Rhinolophus ferrumequinum: one gene and its partners. The protein of the gene in region 3 binds, or shares a complex with, the protein of the main gene of each other region. Links are inferred from orthologs where the notes say so. Each region holds a gene or a part of one and is shown on either strand. Other genes may lie near its edges. The genes, in order: VAMP2, SYT1 and CPLX1.

Region 1 (7,408 bases), on a different chromosome or scaffold from region 3:
CAGCTGGAGGGAGGGAGAGGAGGGGACAAGAGGCTTGGAAAATGGGGGTAGGGGAGGCAAACTAGACTAGCGGGGCTAGGAGGGGATGATTCTGGGGGCCAGAGCAGCCTGGTTCCCCAAAAGCCCAGGCTCCCCACCACCTACAAGTAATGTCATGCAAATGAAAGTGTGACCAATGGGGACTAACTCCTCAGTAAAAAAAAAACAAAACAAAACAAAACAAAAAACAGACGGGTTGAAAAAACAAAGAGTGATGGAACAAAAAAGAAGGAAACCAAAAGGGATGTCAGTGTGCAAATGAATGCTAGTTAACATGCTGGAAACTCCCAGACCTTGGGATTCATAGGACCAAGTGGGGCCAGTCTCAGAGCCTCCCAAATGATGCACAGACGATGCACCTAGGGAGGCCTGGACAATTGCTTTTTGTCTTGTTTGTAGGGGGGGTGCGGGTATGGGGAAGGCCAGGGTGGAAGGAAGGGTCAGCTAAGTCCAAGGAAAGAAGGGAGGAAGAGGGACTATTGCATAGCAGATGCAAATGAAGGGACTTGGGGCTGGTAAGGAAAAGAGGGAACGGGAAGGAGGGAAAGAGGAAGGACGGGAACCTCAGGAAGGGGTGTTAAGGACAACCGGAAAAATCTTCTAGTAATAAAACTACAAACAGACCAAATATATATAATATTATATATGTATAAATAACAGCTGGCTATTTACAGGGGGGCACACACACAGACACACACGGATGGGGGGCTGGAAGATATGGCTGAGAGGTGGAGGAGCAGCTGGGAATGGGGGGGAGAGGCCCTTCTCTGGGCAGGGCAGGCTCCTCGGGGGTTTAAGAGCTGAAGTAAACTGTAGAGCGGGAAAGAAGGATGAAGGGGGAGAGGGGAGAAAGAGAGAGAAAGCAGTGTGTCAGGCCTGGCCCTGCTCCCATCCTCCCCACTCCCCAGCTGACTGACATCCCTTCCCCTCTGGGCCTTGGGTTCTCCCCTGTAAAGCAAAGGGGTTGGACAGGAGGTTCCAAGGTCTCTTCAACCCCATGGTATGGCCTTAGGGCCACAGACCCCAAATCCTCTGGGCCTCTGAGACCACAAGCTCTTAAATAATTCGGTGGTTGGCTTCCTAGTCATATATCAAGCCTATGGGCCTTTCCTGTTCTCCCACTCCCCAATTTCAGGGTTCTCAGGCCCAAAGAGTCCTCAAGGGAGTAGTGGGGATCCACTAGCTCTCGTTTCCAAAAATCGAAACAGAATTGCCCAGAACCAGGCAAAATGCAGGCTGAACAAAATCAAGGTGTGGAGCTCTAGATGAATCAGAACTGCCACTGGCAGCTATATATGCTTTTTGATGAATAGTAAAAACTAGGTTAATGACCTTCAGAACCCCGAACTCATAGGGAAACCTCTCCAAAGAAAGGGCCCCAGCCATTCCTGCCCTACTCACCGATGATGATGATGAGGATGATGGCGCAAATCACTCCCAAGATGATCATCATCTGTGGGTGACAGGAGAGGGGTCAGGGGACCGACCACAAACTCCCCATTCACCCACCAGTCCTCCTATCTGCCCTCCCACGTGCCTCCACCATTACCTTGAGGTTTTTCCACCAGTATTTGCGCTTGAGCTTGGCTGCACTTGTTTCAAACTGGGAGGCCCCCGCCTGGAGTGCATCTGCACGGTCGTCCAGTTCTGACAGTTTCTGGTCCCGCTCCAGGACCTTGTCCACGTTCACCCTCATGATGTCCACCACCTGGAGGAGGGGTCCACGAGGCAGGGGGTATGCCAAGGCCCGCCTCAATGAGGGCACTCCTCGACCACCATGCCCACATATGGAACATGCACCCCGATGTCGCCAGGCTAACATGCCAAGGACACACACAGAACAAGCCTAGCACACCTGGGGACATGCAAGAAGTACACATCAGGGGCATGCTGATAGCCAGACATCTCAGATGTCATAGCAGCACCCTCTATTTATCCAGTTTCAAGTAGCCTGCCCGTCACCAGAGCACACCTGCCCAGGCTGAAACACCCTAGGACTAGCAAGCTAACACTCCAAGGCCCTTACAAGTGCATGCTTACAGGGATGGGGCATGGTATGTCTTTGTCCCAAACCTCATAAACGTGAACTACCATCACCCCCAGCCCAAGATGGACCCCCCAACACTGGTTTGCCAACCCTCAGTGCCCTTCCCACCGTCTTTGGATCCCCCCAGCCCACTCCACTCACCTCATCCACCTGGGCCTGGGTCTGCTGCAGTCTTCTATTACTGGTGAGGTTTGGAGGGGGCCCAGGAGGGCCTCCCTCCCCAGCCGGGGCGGCAGGGGGGGCGGTGGCAGCGGTAGCCGACCTGAGGGGCAGGGACGGATTCAGACCCAGGGCCTGGAGCCTTCGGCCCCGCAGCCAGGACTCCGCCCATCCGCCTGTCCATCCAACCGTCCCTCCCTTCCTCCTTTTCGAGAGGGAAGCCAGCCGATGGGAGCCCTGGATTCCGTCTGGCCCCGCCGCCGAAGAGCTGCATGACCTTGAGTGGGGCCCCTTCCCCCCTCCAGGCCTCAGTTTCCCCGCCTGTCAAATGAGGGCGACCTCACAGACTTGGTCCAGGGTCGACCCGAAATGACCGGCGGCAGCGATGACAGGGGCGGGGCGGGCGGACGCCGGGTCCACTTCCTCCGGCGGCCACCGCCCGCGCGGCCAGCCCGGGTGGCGGGGCTCTCCCGCTGCCCGCGCGCAGTCACGGGCGCCGGCCTGGCCTCGGGGAGCGAGGGACGCGGGCCGAACCCCGGGCCCCGGCCCCAGGGCGGCAGCCGGGCGCAGGCCAGCCCGAGGCGGGCAAGGGCGACCGACTCACATGGCGGGGGCAGCGGGTGCAGGACTTGGCAGCTGCAAGAATGGCGGCTCGCGCTGGCTCCGACTGGCGCTGGCTACCGGGGACGGGAAGATGGCGGCTGCACGTCACCCACATCCGGGCACTGCGGGCGGGGGCGGGGGCGGGGCGCAGTGGCGACTGGTACGAGCCGGGCCGTGGGGGCGGGGCGCGGCAGGCCGCGGGGCGTGCCCGCTGAGCCTCTGCACCTTCCGCAGCCTGACTCCTGCGGCTTCCGTGCGCCCGCTGCTTTCCCACCCTGCTAGACCAGAGCCCGCACAGCCATCCCCACGCCTCTGCCACTCGCACCCCACGGCACCTCTCACCCCCAAACCACGTCCTCCCTCCTATAGTGAAACTTCATTCAGTCTGCACTCTACACAGCTCAAGGTTTCACCCTTCACCCAACTCCCAACGCCTGGTAACCCGCCTTCAGCCCTTGGCGTGGGCTGGAGGTGGAAAATCAGAAAAGGCAGGTGTCGATCCCGAAACAATGCGAATAGCTGGGACCCTGCTGCCGAGGTGGAGTGGAGTGACGGCAGTTGGGAACCAATCCATCACCCCGCAGGTGGATGTCTCGAAGGAGGTCTGAGACCCCCCCCCCCCCCCGGCCGCTGAATAGGGGGGTATAAAGGAAAGGAGATGAGGCAGGCTCTTCCCCCACACCCCAGCCAAATCACTGCGGGTGTGAAAGGTGCTCCACTTCACAACTGGAGTTCAGACCAGGGCTACTTGGCAAGCCAGGCCCGACTGAGGTAGGGCAAGCTTAGGGCCCCAGGGAGGAGGACTCTGAGGCTGCTTCCTGGGGCTACTTCACACGATGGCTGCAAACTGGCCAAAACCTAGCTCTGGCCCATTGTTAGCCCGGCCTCAGGAGGAGGGCTCAGCCTTTTTTCCCCAGGCGCAGGGCCTAGGCCCAAAGGGACAGTTTTTTATTTGTTTGTTTTGTTTTGGGTTTTTTTTTTTTTTTTTTTTTTTAAGTTGGAAAGAACAGTAGGCAAGGGGGGGTGCATGCAGTATCCAGGTTACATGGTACTACTTTACATGCTGATTGGCTTCATAGGTGTGACCTTGGACAGTTCCTGTCCTGTCTCTGGACCCAAAATACATTAGCTGTACGGGCTCTAAATATACATTTCTTATATGGATTGATCTGGAACATGGTGGAGGAGTTTAGCCACGGCCCCTTTCATCCCTCACTGATCTTGCTTTAGGCCTCCTAAACAGACCCAGCATCTGGACATGCCCACCGGGCTCATTCCCAGCAGCTCTGACACTGCAGCGAGGAGAAGACAGGACCAGGTAAGCTGCCTAACCGGTGGCGTGGGTGAAGTCAAGTCTCAAAGAATGAAGGAGACATCTTAGGAGCACTAGTGGGGGGGCTCACTGTATCCTTGAAGGGGAGGAGGGGAGGCTGGTGTTGACTTCTGAGACAAACAGGAGCCAGCTTCCCAGGGGTGAGAACTTCCCCCTTGCAGCGCCCCACTCCCTCCCAACAGAAGCCTGGGGACTGCTTGTGTCACCAGAGGTGTCATTTCCCAGCTGTCTGGGGGAGGTGAGTGAGCAGGGAGCATGTGTGCTGGGTCTAAGATAAGATGCTGTCAGCTCCCTCCTTCTCTTAGGAGCGGCCACTTCACTGGTCCTTGTGCACTCACTAATACAGAATGTCTGGTGGCTCAGCCTATGTGAAAAGGAGGAACAGAGTGGCTTCCATGAGGGCCTCAGATCACAGCGTGGGGCACTGGCTCTGGCTTTCAGGCCCTGAAACTACGCTACTCTCTAGCCAGAGAACAAAAATACCAAATTCTAGCTTTTAAGTTCAAAAGCCGCAGTATCAGTGTCTGGGACAGGGAAGATTAGACAGAGGTACAAACAGGCAGAGCCTCCCTACTCTGACCAAAGACCCTGCACTAGCTGTGGAGAAGCTAGTGGAGGACAAGACGTTAGACACTGCTTTAGGAGTGATCCCCATTTCCCCAGATGGCCAAATCCAGGACATGGAAGGGACAGAATCCGGAGTAAAGTTGGGTAGCCAAGGCCATGGGGTGTGGCTTGGAAAGCTGGCACATTGCTATCACTCCAGGAGGCTGGGGGCAGCCGCAGCAAAGTGTGATCCACGGAGGCAGGGACCATGAGGATTTATCTCAGAGAGAGGACTCTGAGCAGTTCATCCTGGCCCCCACAAACATGTGCTTTGGGGTGAAGGAACTCCCCAAATTTAGATCAATGGTGGAGGCAGGAGAAGGGGGAGGGGTGGGATGACTGAGCTCACTTGGAAATAAATAAGAGAATGTTTTCTGCAAGCAGGTAGAATGGAGAGCCAAATAGGGGTAACTCGAACTAAAGAAAAATAAGGTAATATATTTGCATAAATGAGATCTGGCTTCTACATTTACCTGCTTCAGGGGTTTGTTAGCTGAATCTCTGGCCCCCACTCCCAAGGCTTAAAGGATGTGGGAGGGGGCCTAAGTACACATCTAACAAGTGAGTAACAAGTACTTACTCTGGTGATTCTGATGTAGGTGGCACAGAGAAAATCTTTTATAAAGGTTTTTTTTTTTTTCCCCTCTTCTAACACAACTGACTGAAAAGTTGGGATAGAAGGGGCCTAGGTCGTTTCCACACTTTGACTCATGGGAACTTGCTCCATGCACATGAGTTAAGCATGACCAAACTGGTAATTATAATTTCAGAGACCTTGTGTGTCCCTTAATGCAACTTGTAAATCAAAGCCTTCTAATTAGAAACAGAAGAGGCGTGCCCTCGAGAATGCGGCCTGGAATGGGGACCGAGGGGCTGGCCTCACTGCCATGACAGTCACCTGCTCAAACCCTGTAACCTCTGGCGGAGCCCTCTAGTCAGGAAGGCTCTGGGGCTGCAGAAAGCCCTGGGCTCATCATGGAGGGAAGAGAAACTGCCAGAGACCTACTGTGTGCGAGAGGCTTCACAGGGATTGCCACATATGCTCAGTTTTTACCTTAAATAATATGACTACATTCTCCTTGCAAAATATTAAAACATTACACATAAAGCTGAGGTTCCCTTGGTGACCCCCCCAACTCACTTATCTTTTTGTTTTACTTTCTGGACAGTTTCATATATCCTCCTTTTTGGAAAAAAAAAAAGTTTTGTTATATTTATTTTATTTTTTTCATTTCAAAAAAATGCAGTATCTTCTGTCATCTCTCTGAGGATATTTTTTAAATCCAGTATTAAATTTTAAACTAGGTAATAGGTAACACGATCAAAATTCAGAAGGTACAAAGGAATGTACAGTGAACCCTGGTTCTGAGCTGCTCAGGACCCATACCTGACACATTTGCTATCTCCAGTCTTGTAAATACCGTGTTTCCCCCAAAATAAGACTTGGTCTTATATTAACTTGTGCCCCAAAAGACGCATTAGGGCTTATGTTCAGGGGATGTCATCCTGAAAAATCTGCTAGGGTTTATTTTTCAGATGGGTCTTATTTTCGGGAAACACCATACTTGTAGATTCTTTTTTCCTTTTTAAAAATACAAATGCTAACAGACTATATGTATTGAGTTGTCCCTTCTGTTTGTTTTACTTTCCAATGATTGGTTTTGTTTGTTTGTTTTAACTTTTGCTCCCTAGTATTTGTTTCTTCCAGATTTCTTTGATTGGCTCTTTTTTGTTGTTTTCTTTTTTGTGATGCTGTATATGGGAGTGTCTCTCTTTCATTTTAGAGACTTTCCTCAAATGCTGGCTGATACTTTGTTCATATTTAATAGGGAGCCACCAAAAGGATGATTGAAAGCTGTGGGGGGCAGAAGGAGCATTCATTGGCTATCATATCAGCTTTGCTTTTCAGGGGGACTCTCTCAAGTGTTGATTCGGTGGCAGGCTTTCTCTGGGGCCATTCAGATTTTTGAGAACAATATCCTCCATTCTCCATCCCCTGCCCTTGATGGGGGAGTGGATCTGAAACAGGGTGGGGGCTCCTGTTTCTAGCCTCCGTTCTCACCTCTGCTGGGCCTAGTGTCCCCAAATTCAAAGCGTCCTTGGAAATGAGCATGTGGAGGGAAGGGTGGTATGTGTGACTCGGGTGTAAAAGGTGAGGGAGCCGCAGGGGCCTTAACACTGAACACAGACTCTCAGCCACCCCTGCATTCAGCCAGGTTGGACCCAGGGTCTGGAGACCCACAGGGTTTCGGGCACCATGTCCTCCTGATTCCTTCTGCCCTACTTGGTTTGTCACCATACTTTGGCTGCTGCCCAGCCTCCAAAGCCTTGTTGAAACCTTTGGTCTGCAGCTGTCTTCTCTCTTGGTCTCTTGGTACTTATTGATTTATACTTGACTCTTCTCCTGTTACTTAGTTAACATTTGGAAAGAAGAGAAGACAAATGCTCATGGCCAATCTTCCATGTTTAAAAAGAAGTCTTACCACAGTTTATTTACCTAGTCTCTCAAGGACCAGCATTTTAGGCTGTTTCCAGTTTTGCTGTTTGTTCTTTGCTATTACAACAGTGCTCTTAGGGAGGTTGTAAATACCTGCCATGATCAATCAACCCTCAATCCTATG
Region 2 (7,695 bases), on a different chromosome or scaffold from region 3:
ATCTCTATGCCTTTCGGAAAGTGAATTAATCAATCTGGACCCACTTTTTTCCCCCACATAAATTGAATGAAGCAGTTGAACTATAATTCTCTACATGTTCAGTTAAATAGAAATCTTCCCTCTGATTTTAAAAGGAATTAATATAAAATTTAATGTTGTTCTTGCTTTATTAGCAAACTTGTTTTCACCACAGTATATTCCTTGTATGATAGAGTATTTGAAAGATATATCATTTGTTTTCTTTCTAAGACCTTTGGCTAACATTAGCTCAAACTACTTTTATTTTGCCCTTGAGATAGATTCACCTAAATAATATTTTCCTTGCTAACCTCAACTGCCTGACACAGTATATTACTTTTTGAGTCACTGTCCTCCTTTTCATTTCCAATATTTTCTTAGCCATAACTTTAAGAAAAGGCTTTTGTAAGCCACATTGAATACTGCTAGCTCTTATTTTCTTTTCTTGGGAAATTGTAAAGCATTGTAGTTCAATTATGGGGTTCTTACTCTCTGCCCTAGAGACTTGACTCCCATCTGTATTCATTTTCTTTTTTCTCTCTCTCAATTCTAGATTCCTTTATTTTTACACCGTGGGTGTTCAATTGAAAAATCCATGTGGTTAATTTCTTTTTATCTAATTCTGATTACAGAGAGCCCTGATGTGTTTTCCTTACGAGTTGGCTATAAAATGATTAGCAGTACTGCCAGGCCAAATGATCCCGAGAGAAAGAAATGGAAGGGAAACCAAAATGGATGGCTCCATCTTTTTTTTGCTAGAAAACAAAAAACATAGGTGTTCATGACTTTTTTACCTCTAGAATTAGAATTTTCTTAATTTTAAAAAGTAATAGAAACTTTCAATAAACAACAGTATTTAAATACAAATTCTCTAAAAATCAAATTATTCATGTCCTAGAAGATTATAGTCTAAGACCAAGACATGCAAAATAGGTGACTGTTGACATTTTATGTACAGACAAGTTCTTATAAACATGGATTAACTCTCTTCTACCTCAGTGATCATAGGTGAAGAGGATATTGTGACTATACCTCACTATAGGCTTAGATGGATTAGATGATAGGAGGAAATCCAATCTCCTAGGAATATGAAAAAGAGAAGCAGCAGTAGCAGCAGCAATGATAATGATAAAATAATAATAATGGTTAATATCATTAAGTCCTTGCTTTGTGCTTGGAACTAGCACTTATGCACAGCTTTACTTAATCTTTACCAAAAAACCTCAGAATATATTGTACTTGTTATTTTGTGCTTATTATAGAAGAGGAAACAGGCTTGGAGGGGGTCTTATACATTTTTCAAGATCACATAAACAATTAGTCTTGAAGCTGGAGTTCTATCCAAATTCTTGCCCCAGAAAACAAGCGTTTAATCAATCCTCTGTCTGTCCTGGAAAGAATAAAACAAAAAAGCCTGGATCTTGAAAGGCAATGCCAGAAAATGTACAGATGTAAAATAAAAAGAATAATAAGATATAAATCTATATAAACAATAGGTAAAATTTAGAAAAGTTTGTTATTTCTTTCACAACCCTAGGCAATGACACTTACAGAATAGATTTCACCAGAAAACTAGGGTGGTTATTAAAGATATAAAGTTTAATGATACATGAGAGTCTTGATTAAATGGAACTCTTTAGTACCACTGATTGATTGCCTAGGATATACAAGCTTTTCCACCAACATGGAGTATTTTCTTGGTACCTCTCATGTGTTCTTTCTGTAGTCTACAGAAAACATTGCCTAAGTTTGCACTTAATGAATTTCTTGTTTCTAGAGTCTCTAATTCCCACTCTTGCCATAAGACACACTTTTCTCCTCAGTGCCCCAATCCAATTTAGTTTCTATTCTGATCCTGTAGCCTAAAATAGATGGCAAAGGGAACATTAAAGTTGTAAATAGATGAATCCATTGAAAAGGAATAAAGAAAATGATGACAATGGGATCTCAATCAAAGCAAAACTGTGAAGGAAAGCTAACAAAAGTGGGGATTTTAGGCAAAAAAATGAGGAAACAAAACATTAAACAAAATAGATTAAATCAGTTCTAGAAATCACAAATAATTTTTAAAAAAATACACAACCAGGGAATCAGTTAAATCTCCATAGCATAGGACACAGAGATTCTAGATTAAAAAGTACCTGAGAAATGGGATAAAGAGAAAAAAGACAATTGACCTGATCTGTCTTTTAATTAAGATGGAGTCTGTTATAAAGGGAAAAAGACGATATATACTTTCTGCAACAGAAAAGTACCATATGTCAACCCAGCAGTATCACGTGGGGCTATCCAGCCCATTCCTTGAACTCGGGGAGCACACAGGAGAGAGAATAAAAATCTTAGTCTTGCAAAAACTAAAGTGTATCTACATCCACTGTGTAAGTAAAGTTTTAACAATTCATGAACAAAAATGTTATTCTAAAATTAATTGCAAGATACATGTAAACCCCATTCTTGTTATCCAGCAGTCTCCCTCAAGGAACTTTGGAATACAAGCATCTAACACAATCCCACTGTCTAGGATCCTGACCACTGAGGGAGAGTGATTGTCGGGTAGGCGGTGAAGATAGAAGGCAGGGAAATTGGCTAAAATACTGATGATAAGATAAGAGTGTGGAAACAGAGATAACTAATCTGGATTCATATTCTACTTACTCATGTTTTCTAAAATAAGTTTATTTGTTTCTACATGTAGCTACTGGGTGCAGCTATTAAAAGATGCAGTTTTTAATTATTGGAATCTAGGGAGTGTGCTAGAAGTATATTTAGACTAAAGATGTCTATTAGGTGGACATTATACTAATCCTCTCATACAAAGACATTTACTAGAAAACAATATTACAGAGGTAGTTGATTCTTCTTTTTCTCCTTTTCCTCCCTTCCTCCTTTTTCTTCATCAAGTACTTGAAATTGATTTTAAACTAATGTCTATTATCTCCTTTCTCCAACTATGAAACTAGTCTAAAATAAGATAAGAAAATGGAAGATCCATATTTACATAAAGTTACTATTTTTTTCAAATACACAATTATTTGTCATAAAGGAATTCGTTTATATCAAGGTTGTCATCTTTTTCTCTGTACTGAGAATAAGGATTTAATCTTAAACATTACATAAATAGGAGAGGTTTAATTAAAACTTGAAGAAATGTGTTACTGTTAATTGAATTCTTGCTACAGTTACCTTTGCAAACCAGTGTTAATGAAACTCCCAGTTCATAGTGGAGGATTTGGGGAATTGAGATAGCTATTTATTTCCTTACCTGAGATGCCATGATAATCTTCTCAGTAAAATAAAAGAACCCAATTAGGGAGGTTCTCAGTTGTAGCTATTGATCAACTGTACACAAACTGCTAGGATTTTTCTAAGCAAAACAAATCAGAGGTTCAAAGACCATCAGATAAGGTCAGTGAGAGGGAAAGGGAAATATTTCTTTGCGTTTTTAAAAGCCTTCTCACCTGTGGAGCAGAGAATGGACTTGCTCCTACCTGGAGCTTGGGTCTGTTCCCGCCCCTCGCCTTGCTCTTTGTCCCTTCCCCCACTCGCTGAACCTCCCAGTTTGGTATCTGTCCGTATTACCAAGCTATAAACTGCCTTAGAGCTTAGAGACCAATCAGGTCAGCACAGCTCTCAGAAGAGAAAAGCTTCTTACTTTCCGAGCAGAACCAGTTAGGGTAAAGAGAGGAAGGAGGGAGGGAACCCACGCTTTAGTCGTCACTGTGCTGGCAAAGGGTGGAGAGAGATGTGGGAGGAGGCTGGCAGAAACAGTCCCCAACAACGTCGTACTTGACCCAAGTCTCCAAACTTATTGGTCACTGCAGTGGAAACTCCAGTGTACGCTCCCCGGCCTCGCAGCTTCGGCCTGCTGGGTGGAGTCGCGCTCGCCGGCCCCAACTGTGAGCACGAGCTTCCTCAGCGTCTCTGGTCCCACAGTACCCTTCGCGATCAGTCTCCGGGCATCAAGCAACGCTCAGGTTATTCTCCTCCGGCCTTCCACACCCCCGAACCCCGACCAAATAATATCATGAACCTCCAGTAGCCCCGAGGGCCCCCTCCCGGTGGCTCCGTTTGTGGGCACTCGTGCGGAATCCTTTCATACCCCCAGTCCTGCTCTGCTTTCACAACTCTGTCGGGTCAAAGGACCCAAGACAAAACTTCTGCCTCTCCTTCCCCTTTCCCACCTTTTCAAAACCCCACAGCTTGCGAACCCACACACATCGGAACTCCTAGGGCACTGTTTGCAGTCTGGGCATGCTCAGTATCAGGGCAGTTTTGATTGAAAGTTAAAAAAAAGAAGAAAAAAGCTTTGTATTATGCTGTCTCCTCCCGTGCATAGGGCTTCCCGAACAGGTTTCGGGGCATCCCTGCTCCTACCCCAAAGGGTATATCGGATGCCCTGATTGCGTCCTCCTTGGGCTCTGTCCCCCTCCTGTTCACTCCCCTCCCGTTAGCCCTCCCCCAACCCCCTCTTCAGGTCCCTGTCCGCTGTGGGGATGGAGAGACACTACCAGAACTGGGAAGGGCGATCTTGGCTGAGCGGATCCACCTATTATTAGTGCGCCTGGATTGGCTCCTCGGCAGAGCGTACCGGAGGTGGAACCAATCAGGTGGCCGGGGCTGGGAGATGATGGGCGGCCGCCTCCTCACTGGAGGGGATTCCTGGAGAAGCTGCAGTGTGGGGATGCTCTAGACCGAGTGCTGCCCCCAGTGTCTTTCCACTTCCTCCTGCAGCGGCGGCAGCAGCACTACTTAGCAGAGACAGCAACTTGAGGCTGCACCGGGCAAACCCCCCAGGGTGGTCCTCAGCGGAGAGGGGGGCTCAGCGCCCCGAAGGGGTGTGTGTAGGGTGGGGGCGGCCAGCTGGGACCAGCTGGTGGCCCTGGAAAACCTCCCACACACCCACACCCACACACCCCTTTTGTGTTACAGGCTGCCCCTCCAAGAACACAGGCAGCGAGCAGACGTGTGTGCCTTGCACGGGTCCGCCGGGGAAAGCAGTGGGGACAGAGACCAGCACCTCCTCCTAGTCTTCCCTCCAGGTAAGACCGCGGGACTGGCGGCGGGGCCACCTAGGTGGTGCCTATTTGTTTGAATCTGTCTGCAAGATTGTGTTCTCGGTACACATGGGTTTTGGTGGTGGGAGACTGAGACCTGGGGAGGGAGCCCCGGGTGGCCTATTGTGAGAAATATAATGAGACCACATGTGCATCTCCTGGAAAAGCACTTTGCACAGTGCCGGTGATTTAGAGCCTGGAGTTGATGGTGGGCATCCCCCATCTTCTTGCTCCGTCTTTCTTTCCCTCGTTCTCCCTCCTTTATCCCCCACTCCAGTCTCAATCTCTCACCTCCCTCCACACCTTCCTCAATCTCTTTCATCTCCACCCTTCTCCCATCCTAAGCACGCACAGGGTTTCTTGCTCCTCCTGGAGAGGATTGCCTTTCCTCAGAGGAAAGAAAGGGGTGGTGAAGGAAGAAAGAATTCTTTTTGCCCGGGGGAGAAGAAAAACAAGATAGAATACAACCGCTGTGAAAATTAGAGTACAGAAAGCAGTTGAACCCAAAGAAGCAAGTAGATAAGCCATCCAGCCTGGGCTGTCAGAGAGGGGAAGCATCAAGTTTGACTTCATCTCCTTGCAAGAGGCTATGTCTCTCGCTCGATTCGTTCCAATGGAACAAAAATAAACCACTGATCCAACCCACATTCAACTGCTTAACTGCTGTTGTTTTTAAGTGTCAACCATCTGACTTTCCCTGTGTCCATCTGTCCTGTGGGGCTGACTATTTGGTATTGACCTTCATTGGTAATATCTGAACTTTGAGGTGTTTCTCGAGTAAAGAAAAAAATTAAAAACAGATTATTACTTTCCTGAGGTTCTCTGGTATGGCCTTGTGTTGGGGGGGCAAAAAAAAAGTGAAATGTAAAGTTTCAAACATTTGTAAGTGACACCAGGATTATGAGGAGGCTTGGATTTCTACTTTAAGAAAGCTAATTTAGTTAGCTTTGTGGACATGTTGATTTTCACTTTCTGTAATATTAACCCCTTGGTGAAATACAGCAACCATTTAACTTTTGTGCTAAAGCTACTTTTGTGTACACATTGTCATTTCATTCTATCTATCTACTATCTATTTGCCATTTTATTGCCCTGGATATCAAATTCACGTCTTGCCTTATTTTCTGTTAATAAGAATATTTAATAGATTGAAACTGTATAAACATCATGTTTACATGCTTTATTTAGAAGGCATATGGAAGCTCAGTTAGCCAATAATTCTCTTGTACTGGAACAAAGTTTTAGAAAGTCATGGTAGGAAGATAACCTCAAATTTTAAAAATCTTAAAGGGGAAATGTTTTTGTTCTCAAGAAAGAGAAAGATAGCAAAACAACTATGTACCCTGACTGACTGTATAATAGGTCAAGTACAAATACTTGTGGGACAGAGGCTTGACGGCAGCTGCAAGCAATTTCCAATTCCATCATCAATGATATAAGCTTTCCTTTCCTATTATGCATCAGAGGTATCTAAGTGATTACTGTCAGATGGGAGGAAGTAGAGAGAAGTGCCTAGTTGAATCTAATGGGGAAGCAATTCCAAGTGGGTCCTACATGAGTGTAGGGAAGCTGGAAGATGCTAGTATGTCCAGATAAATTCTTTCCTTGATTTACCAGGGGAAATGCCAAACTCTTACATTTTTTTCTAACCTGTCCACTTGGGATAAGAAAAGGGAATCTTCTTTCTCAACTCTTCCTAGTCTTCCTCAACTAATCTATGCACGCCAGAAAGTATTTTTTCACCATAATCCTAGCACATCAGTTTTATACACCAACTTAGAGAAGAGCTAGTTTCATTTACCATCAATGTAATGAATATTATTTTCTCAACCATTTTCCATTTGATGCACTTATTTCTTTCTAAGTAGAATTACCGAGAGTCACAAAAAGCAAGATCTTTCTAGAGCTTTGACATTTAATGTTCTTTCTTTTTTCCTTTTAATGTAGTATCTCTGTTGACAGCTAACTCTAATTTTTAGAGGTGCCACCTTTTCATTCCAAGGACAAAAGGACAATTGCTTAATTGCCTCATGTGTATACAACTGAATTAACAAGTTTAGACATGAAAAGATGTACAAAAAGGAAATCAAGTGTGTTCCATGTGAACAAAATAAGATTTTGTTTGCGTATTTCTCCACTGTCTTAGGAACGTAAAAGTTTAGGCTTCTTGGTTTGTGACATTTATTTTCATGACTCTTTACAAATGTTAATACAGCAATGACATGTAAAAGATATGTATGTATTTAGTTTTTCACCTACTTCTGAAAAATTAAGTCTGTATATATACTAGAAGTCAGAACTAATTCCAATAGTCCCAATAGTGAGTGGCTTGAGGAGAGACTTATTACTGTCATCACATAGAATGTTCTGGTATAAACAATTTCATACAATCTTCATGTTTTATCCATTTAAAAGCATAGCTTTGTAAATCTTATTAATGTTACAGGACAAATATGGCAATTAGACTTAACATATTTTTTATCAGAAGTAAAGGTTGCTAAAATACAGGACAAGTCCTAACATACTAATTCCATGAAATACTACATAATGGAGAGTTGTTGCAGAGTAGTTTTAAAACTCCATTTCATAATGGAGAGTATTAGTTATTTCTCTGGTCAAATTA
Region 3 (7,232 bases):
AGACAGGGCCTCACGGCCGCCCCAGCCCTCCTCAGGCCCCTTTGTGAGTACCTCGGAAAGTGGCACCTCTGGTCTGACGCTGTGCCCGCTGGGTGGCCCCTGTGCTGTGTGTAACAGGACTGTTTGGGCAATGACAAGAGACAGCGGGTGGGGGCTGGCCCAGCCAAGAGCCAGGGAGTGGAGGTATGTGCCAGGAGCAGGGAGGGGTGTGGGTCTCCCCGTGGGGTCTGGGTTCTGGGGCAGAGCAGGGGCACAAGTGGGGAGAGGAGCAGGGTGGGCAGAGGGGTCGGAGGCATCGTGTGCTCTGAGCCCAGATCCTGGACCGGCTCCTCGGGAAGAGGGGACCAAGGCCCCTCGTGTCTGCATCTTGAGAAGCAGCCTGGGGGCCTCGATGGAAAGGGACAGTGGGGCAGACAGTGCACTTCTGCACGTGAGCCTGACCAGGCACCGGACATCTCAGCATCCCCAGACCAGGCAAGGTCTGAGGGGGAGCTGAACATCCCCAGGACCACTGGGGTCTGGGCAGGGGGCGAGCCCGGCGTCAGGAGACCAGGCACTGCCCTGGCTCAGCTGCTTTTCTTTTCACACATTGTTACCTTTTCCCCCCCCCTTTCTTCTGCCCGCCCCCCACTCCGGTTCAAGCCTCTGTTTCTCAGTCTAGTTGTGTAGGACACAGCTCCCTGGCCCACGCTGGTGTTATGAGCCTTGCGCTTCCCCGGCTGAGGCAGTCGGTCACCAGTCGTTGGTCGGCCACTCACAGCAGCTCACGGCTGCTGGCCACTCACACTGGCCACTGGCCACTCATAGCAGCACACAGTAGCCCACAGCAGCACATGCCAACCTCTGGCTGGTCACAGCAGTCCAGGTCCAGGGAGAGCTGTTGTTCACAATCTTAGCTGTAGAGGGCGCAGCTCACTGGCCCATGTGGGAATTGAACTGGCGACTTCAGCACTAGGAGCTTGGTGCTCCAACCACTGAGCCACCGAGCCGGCCCACGTTGTTACCTTTTTAATAATAAAATCCAGCAGGAAACCCGTGGCAGTGCTGGGACAGAATTACTCAGTTTGTCAAGTTACTAAGTTTGCATTTGAAGTTTCTGGGTGAGCCTGACCCAAGGAGCCTGTGCCGCCTCTCAGCCCCCACGCCAGGATTGGAGAACAGTTCCCTGAAAGCACTCCCAGGGGGGTGCCCGGGGGCACAGGAGACAGATGGACAGCAGGCGTCAGCCAGGCCTCCCTGGCGGGAGCAGAAGGAGGCCCAGGAGCCGCTTCCAGAAAGGCAGGGTAGGAGCTGGAGCAGAGCGGCTGCCACCTCTCTCTGCCATCTGCTGTGGCGACTGGACTGCAGGGGCCTCAAACCCAGCACCATGCTTCTTTTGGCACAACCCTGCTTCGGGTCAGGGTGCCAGGCGGATTTCTGGAGGGCAGTGCTTTGAAGAGCGTGCAGGACGCTGAGCTGGCCAGGGTTGGCCGAGGCCCCAGATGCTGACGTCTTGGTGAGACACCCTCCCCCCTCACTCCAGCTCCCTGGCCATTTCCTTCCCCATCTGACTCTTTTCACCTCCTCTGCGCCCAGAACCGCCTTGAACAGTAGCCACAACCAGGTGCTTCCCCAGCCACCTCCTGGGTCTTCTGCCTGCTGAACGCGCCTCCCTTGGCTCAGCCTTTCTCAGCCCTTGGCTCAGCCTTTCTCAGCTGTTAACAAGTTTCCCACTAGTTCCCATGGGTCTTTACTGCTCGCTGCAGGTCTGGAGACTGTTCTCCAGGACACACACAGGGCCACGAGTTCCACCGGGTGTGGACCCGTGGCCCCGTGGGAGCAAGACACGAGGGCAGAGCTGCTCCTGGGCATTCTATGTACTCATTTCCTGCCCAGAGCTGGCACGGCCCACCAGTCCTGCTCACGCTCCATAGCTGCCTGGCCTCCCTCTCCCAGAGCACCAGTCACTCTGACCCAAGGTTGTCACCAACCTTGTCTATTTCCCCCTGGGTGGGAGGGTCTCAGGGCCTGAGCAAAAGTGAGAACTGAGGGCCCACTGTGTGTGGTGAGTGTAAGAGGAGCAACAACAGAGACAGAGAGATGGTGACCCTACAGGGAGAGGGAGACTAAGAAACGTGGAGGGTCCAGTGGCAGAGGGCCTCTGTCATCCGTGCCCAAGCCTATCCCTTGCCACACAGCGCCTGGCTTGGGTGCATGTGCAGCTCAGCCAGGCCCGAGGCTCTGGACTCAGTGGGGCCTGCTCTCCCCTGACACTGTGCGGGACATACCTGCCCAGCCTGGCCGCCCTAAGGTCAGTGGGGTGTCCCCGTGCAGGTGACTCTCGAGGGGAAGTAGGATCGTTGGTCATGGAGCCTGCTCTGGGGTCCTCTGTGGGGCTGCCGTCAGCATGTTACCTGTGGGTCACTCCCAGGTCACCTGGGGTGGGTGTGAAGGGAAGACGCTCCAGTGAGAAGTGACTTCTCACTTTCTTGGACCTACCTCTCTCCCCTGTCTACCCACTACCGGGTTCTGAGGACACCAGAAGGGCCGGACTGACCACACCCTGAGTGGGGCTCAGGCCAGACTCTCAAGATCCTCAGACATCTGGAAATGGGTGACCACTCCACAGAGCACCTGTCCCCAGACCTGCACAAGGCCTGAGGCTTTGACCCACCTCTCGTGAAGAATGAAACAGAAACGTGCTTCTCACATTCTCAGGGGTCAGCCAGGGTGGATCAGCACCAGGGCTCCCTGCACTCCTGGCGTGAGTTGTCTGTCCTGTCCCCAGGCCCACCCTTCTGAGCAGCACTCCCACCTTGCACCTCCTGGCCCAGATCTAGACGACAGGACATGTCAGCAGGAGGAATGGATAGTGCTGAGGCCACTTTCCACCGCCCTGGGATCCCTGGAGCCCACAGCTGTGTCCTGGAACGTGGGCCTCCCCAGGGCCACCACTCCCAGGGGCCATAGCAGCCCCCTGCGCTCCTCTCCATCCCTCATTCCTTGGCTGCTGAGGGCCCCTGCCAGGCCACTGGTTACAGGTAGGTCTGGAGAGGGTCAGCAAGGGTGGGACCTGGGAGCAGATGCGAGCCTACTGGGGAACCAGGCCGGTAAGAGCAGAGGTGGGCAGAGGAGCAGGAGGAGGGTCTCCCGGGACAGGGGAGGGGCAGGGGCAGATCCAGGAGCCACCGCTCCCACCCCAGGCCCAGGGAGCCAGTGACTCAGCTCTGCGGGGGCGGTGACAAGGTAATGCAGTGGTCACCAGGGGTGTCCACCCACCGACCAGGCAGCCGGCCCTGGTGGCTCTGAGACTCCTGGACTCAACGAAGCCGCGATCAGGGGCCGCAAAGCCGCGTCGGCCAACCCCCGGGAGGGGCGGCAGACAGGAGGTCTAGCCGCCGACCTTGCAGCGACCCGGCTGTCCCCGCAGTGCAGCTTCCGCCGCAGAGGCAGTCCCGGAGGCTCCGGGGTGGGGGAGGCGCGGCGGGGGCGGGGCTGCGAGGACAGCGGGGGCGGAGCGGCCTGTTCGGAGTGACCTTCACGCCCCCTACCCGCCGTGGGCCGCGGACTGTCCGCGGGGCGGGGTCAGTCTCTCTGCGACGGTTACACTGAAAAATAGGTCTGGGCCGGTCTGCTGGTCTCTCTCCGCCAGGGGGCGGGTGGGTTTTTAGGAGTAGGGGGCTTCCTTCTCCCGCCCAGAGATGCGCGGAGACGGGAGAGCGGCGGGGTCCAGGCCGTGGGCTCCGGGTTGCTCTGCCGGGTCGGGGAACCCTTCCACGTGCGAGCCCAGGCGGAGCTCCCCGCAGCCCCAGGCCCTCCCCGCGCCGGCCCGACGAGTAAAGGATTTCTTCCAGGGGGGTCGGGCGTGTCGGTCCCGCACGCGCTCACGAGGTTTCCTCCCGTCAGGAGAGGGGTGCAGGACCCCGTCTGGGAGAGAGGGCGGCCCCCACCCAGGTCCACACCGAGGATCTCGGTTCCGGGGCCACGGTATCTGGGATTCTGAACTGCTGAGCGGGTCACGGTCACGCGCACTGGCTCGGAGGACTCGCGCCCCGGGACCCCGGAATGCGTCCCGGGGCAGGGTTCAGGAGGGGAGACGGGGGTGCGGCTCCGGCGCTCCCGCCCCCGCCCCCCGCAGGCGCCCGCCGAGCCGCCTCGGCCCCGCCCTCCTCGTCACGCCTGGACGCAGGCGGGAGGCGGGGAGCGCTTCCGTGTGACGCGCCCTCCTCGCCGTGCCCTTCAGCCGCCGCCGCAGTTCCAGGGCGCCACATGGACCCGGCCGGCCCCAGCACGCTCCGCCGCTGACCGCCCGTCCGCTCGCCCTCATCCCGGCTCCGGGAAGGTAACCGGAGCCCCGCGCACACCCCGCTCCCCGGCCCCGCCGCTCCTCCCTGCCTGCTACCTCCGCGGCCGGGCTGGGCGCGCACTCGGCCCCGGCGGGCGCTGTCCGCTGGCGCGGTGCTGAAACGGCCCGCGCGGTCCCGGCCCGTGCCCTCCCTCTTCCTTGCTCGCTCTCCGAGTCTCCTGCCTCTCGTGTCTCCCCTTGCCCTCCCTCGTCCTCTGTCTCTTTCTTTCTCTTTCCTGGCGCGCTCCCGCCTGAGGGCCGCTCGGCAAAGCCGGGCAACTCGCCCGCCCGCAAAGCCGGAGTGCGGCAAGGCGGGACCCCCAGCCTGCCGCCCCTGGGGGAGCTCTAGCAGCACCCCGGCCTCTCTGCGGCTGGGCCCTGCGGTTCCCTCTCCCCCAGGGGCCAGGGGAGAAGTTTGGAAGAGAATCCGCTTTGCGGCAAAGGCACCCCTGCGCACCAGCGCTTTGCGGGAGGGGGCCACTCCCGCTGCCACCCCTCCCCAACCCGCACACACGCTGGTCTCCTTCGGAGGAAGGAGAGGAAAAACCACAAAACAGTGGATCTGCAGGGACCTGGGTTTCCCTGCCAGGAGAGACATCACGGGGGTGGGGGGGAATTGCAGGTTTTACAGGAAGCATCTCCCCACCAGAGTTCCAGCTGGCCTGGACCCAGGAGGTCCCACTCCTGGAGATGCAGGTGGAGGGGTGGTCTACCCCCCATTTCCATTTGTTCCCACAAGGCTGAGCCCCCTGCTGGTTCTCCCACACCCATCTCTGTGGTGGGCAGGTGGCAGTGGGTACTGATTCTCCCTGGGTAAAGCCTAGTCTCCCAACACTTCCAGCAGCAGCCACAGGGACCTCCCTGAAGGGGCACCCACTCAGGGCCCACTACCCTAACCCTGTTTCTCAGATTGACCCCACCCTCCATGGCCCAGGGCCCCCCAGGGAGGCAGCAGAGCCAGTCACCTTCAAACGCCCCTGGGGCCTGCCCCTGCTTCTCACAAGCTGGCTCTGCCAAGTGGTGAGCACCCCCCACCCTGCAATAGCAGCTGAAAGCTGGCTTCAGAAGCCCCAGGGGCCAGGTGAGACCCCTTTGCAGATCCAGCTGTAGTCCTGGGATCTGCCTGCCCTATTCAGGGAGTGGGGTGAAAGCTCCCCCCACAGGGACCCTATTAGGTGCCCCTTCCCAGTGCCAGGGTCCAGCAAATGACGCGCTCTCAGACTGCAGGCCCATGCTCGGGGAAGGGGGGCAGGAAGTGCAGCCAGTCGGGGCGGCCCGTGACCACCTCCTCTCCCCTAGGCAGAGGACTCAGCCGCACTTGCATGTGAGCTCGGACCCTCAGAGGAGCTGCTGAGGAATCAAAGCCATCGTCATGGAGTTCGTGATGAAACAGGCCCTGGGAGGTAGGAGGGGGGCCGCTGCACCGAGCTGGTCGCCAGGCAGGCACATGGGTCACCCTCAGCTGGCTGCACATATCTGGGCAGAGTGGGGCAGGGTTGGGATTGGCGGAATGTGCGCTGGAATGCTGTGGTCAGGGCAAGGCAGCAGGGCCCCACTCAGCCTCGGCCAGACAGCCCAGGGTGGGTTTCAGGGGCACTAACGTGGGACCGGTGGCACCCCAGGGTGGGCAGAGTCAGGGGGTGGCCGCAGCAGCAGGGTACGCAGGAGGCCGGGGCTGGCTGGGCACAGGGACACGAGACGCAGCCCCTCCGCAGAGAGGAGGGACCCTCTTTCATCCCAGCTGACTCCTGTTAGAAGGGAGTCCTGTGCCTACCTGGCTGAAGACCGTCATTGTGGCCAGACCCCCAGCCCAGGAGAGGCAGGTGGTGTAGGACGGTGGGCTGAGCCCGGGGGTGTGGGGGGTGGGGGAGGGTGGGCAGTAGGCCATTGGGCAGTGTCCCAGGCTGGGCGTGGCTCCCCCCACTGGCTGGCAGTGGGCCACACTGGCACAGATGCGTCACCCCAGGCCGTGCGTCCCAGCCCGAGCTCCTGTGACGGGAGCCTGCGGGCAGCGCCCCACATCGCCGTGAGTGATGGCTTCCTTGGACGGCCTCTGTGGCCACACCCTGATGTGGTGCCACTCACAGCCAGGCCTCAGTCAGGTGCTACGTGACAAGGACACCGTCTTGGTGGGTGCGAGGTCAGGAGGAACCGGGAGCTTTGGCCATAGGTGGGGGGCGTTGTGCCCCACTTGTGGGCTTGTGTCCTAGAGAATGGCTGCATTTCTGCTCAACACAAATGAAAAGAAAAGACATTTGGGCCTGGCCCGGGGGCCACATTCCCTGAGGTTTCCTGGTCAAGGATAGGCTGTAGGTTGAGTCTGATTATAATGATTACGTCACCGGGATGGGATTCAGGGGCCGGCAGCGTCCTGGCGGAGGGATCCATGCTCCACCCAGCCAGCCCCAGGCTGGTGCAGATAATTAATTAGGCAGCTAATTCAGGCCCTGAGGTGGGCTTGCAGGGAAACTGCAATATCTGATTTGGCTGTCTACACAGCTGAAATTAGCTGGGTAATTGCCAGTCTGCGCTCCCTTTGTTCCATGTCAGCCCAAGTTTCTCCTGTGGCAGGGACGATGCAGCGGGCTTCCTGAGGGTGTGGGAGCGAGGGGGAGACCCGTGGGGTGCCCCAGGCTGGGTGTTGCTCCCCCATTCACTGGCCTGGGGTTGGGGGCTGCGTCAGACCTCCGGGAGAGGCCTTCCTTCTGTCTTTGTGCTTCCTCTCTGTGGGCTCTCAGGACGCGCATGAGTGACAGGGAGACAGACAGAGGGACAGAGACAGAGCAAAGTGTCTAGAGATGGGTGAAGCCAGAGAAACGGGGTCTGAGTATGGAGTTGGAGAGAGAAGACACAGCCCAGAAACAGACCGAGAAAAAGACAGAAACGGAAATGCCCCAGGACCTGCGAG

The links.
Region 1: the proteins of CPLX1 (region 3) and VAMP2 are in contact, whole or in part, in a crystal structure (PDB 1KIL), measured with the Rattus norvegicus proteins. The link is inferred for Rhinolophus ferrumequinum from reciprocal best matches to the Homo sapiens genes CPLX1 and VAMP2. Residues at the interface, in NP_074055.1 of Rattus norvegicus: Leu41, Arg48, Tyr52, Glu56, Arg59, Glu60, Met62, Arg63, Ile66, Arg67, Tyr70, Gly71, Ile72; in NP_036795.1 of Rattus norvegicus: Arg47, Val50, Asp51, Leu54, Asp57, Gln58, Ser61, Asp64, Asp65, Asp68, Ala69, Gln76.
Region 2: the proteins of CPLX1 (region 3) and SYT1 are in contact, whole or in part, in a crystal structure (PDB 5W5C), measured with the Rattus norvegicus proteins. The link is inferred for Rhinolophus ferrumequinum from reciprocal best matches to the Homo sapiens genes CPLX1 and SYT1. Residues at the interface, in NP_074055.1 of Rattus norvegicus: Val61, Met62, Gly65, Asp68, Lys69, Tyr70, Lys74; in NP_001028852.2 of Rattus norvegicus: Glu271, Thr383, Gly384, Glu386, Thr406, Leu407, Gln408, Glu412, Met416.

What each region holds. Positions count from the first base shown.
Region 1 is NC_046304.1:10,826,893-10,834,300, reverse strand, and holds the start of VAMP2 (vesicle-associated membrane protein 2), read right to left. Parts: upstream 3,004-7,408; 5' UTR 2,852-3,003; coding exon 2,850-2,851; intron 2,349-2,849; coding exon 2,228-2,348; intron 1,748-2,227; coding exon 1,589-1,747; intron 1,493-1,588; coding exon 1,441-1,492; intron 850-1,440; coding exon 833-849; 3' UTR 1-832. UniProt on the Homo sapiens protein: Involved in the targeting and/or fusion of transport vesicles to their target membrane. Major SNARE protein of synaptic vesicles which mediates fusion of synaptic vesicles to release neurotransmitters.
Region 2 is NC_046293.1:72,725,920-72,733,614, forward strand, and holds the start of SYT1 (synaptotagmin-1), read left to right. Parts: upstream 1-4,666; 5' UTR 4,667-5,057; intron 5,058-7,695. UniProt on the Homo sapiens protein: Calcium sensor that participates in triggering neurotransmitter release at the synapse. May have a regulatory role in the membrane interactions during trafficking of synaptic vesicles at the active zone of the synapse.
Region 3 is NC_046288.1:87,805,715-87,812,946, forward strand, and holds the start of CPLX1 (complexin-1), read left to right. Parts: upstream 1-4,161; 5' UTR 4,162-4,321; intron 4,322-5,623; 5' UTR 5,624-5,696; coding exon 5,697-5,727; intron 5,728-7,232. UniProt on the Homo sapiens protein: Positively regulates a late step in exocytosis of various cytoplasmic vesicles, such as synaptic vesicles and other secretory vesicles.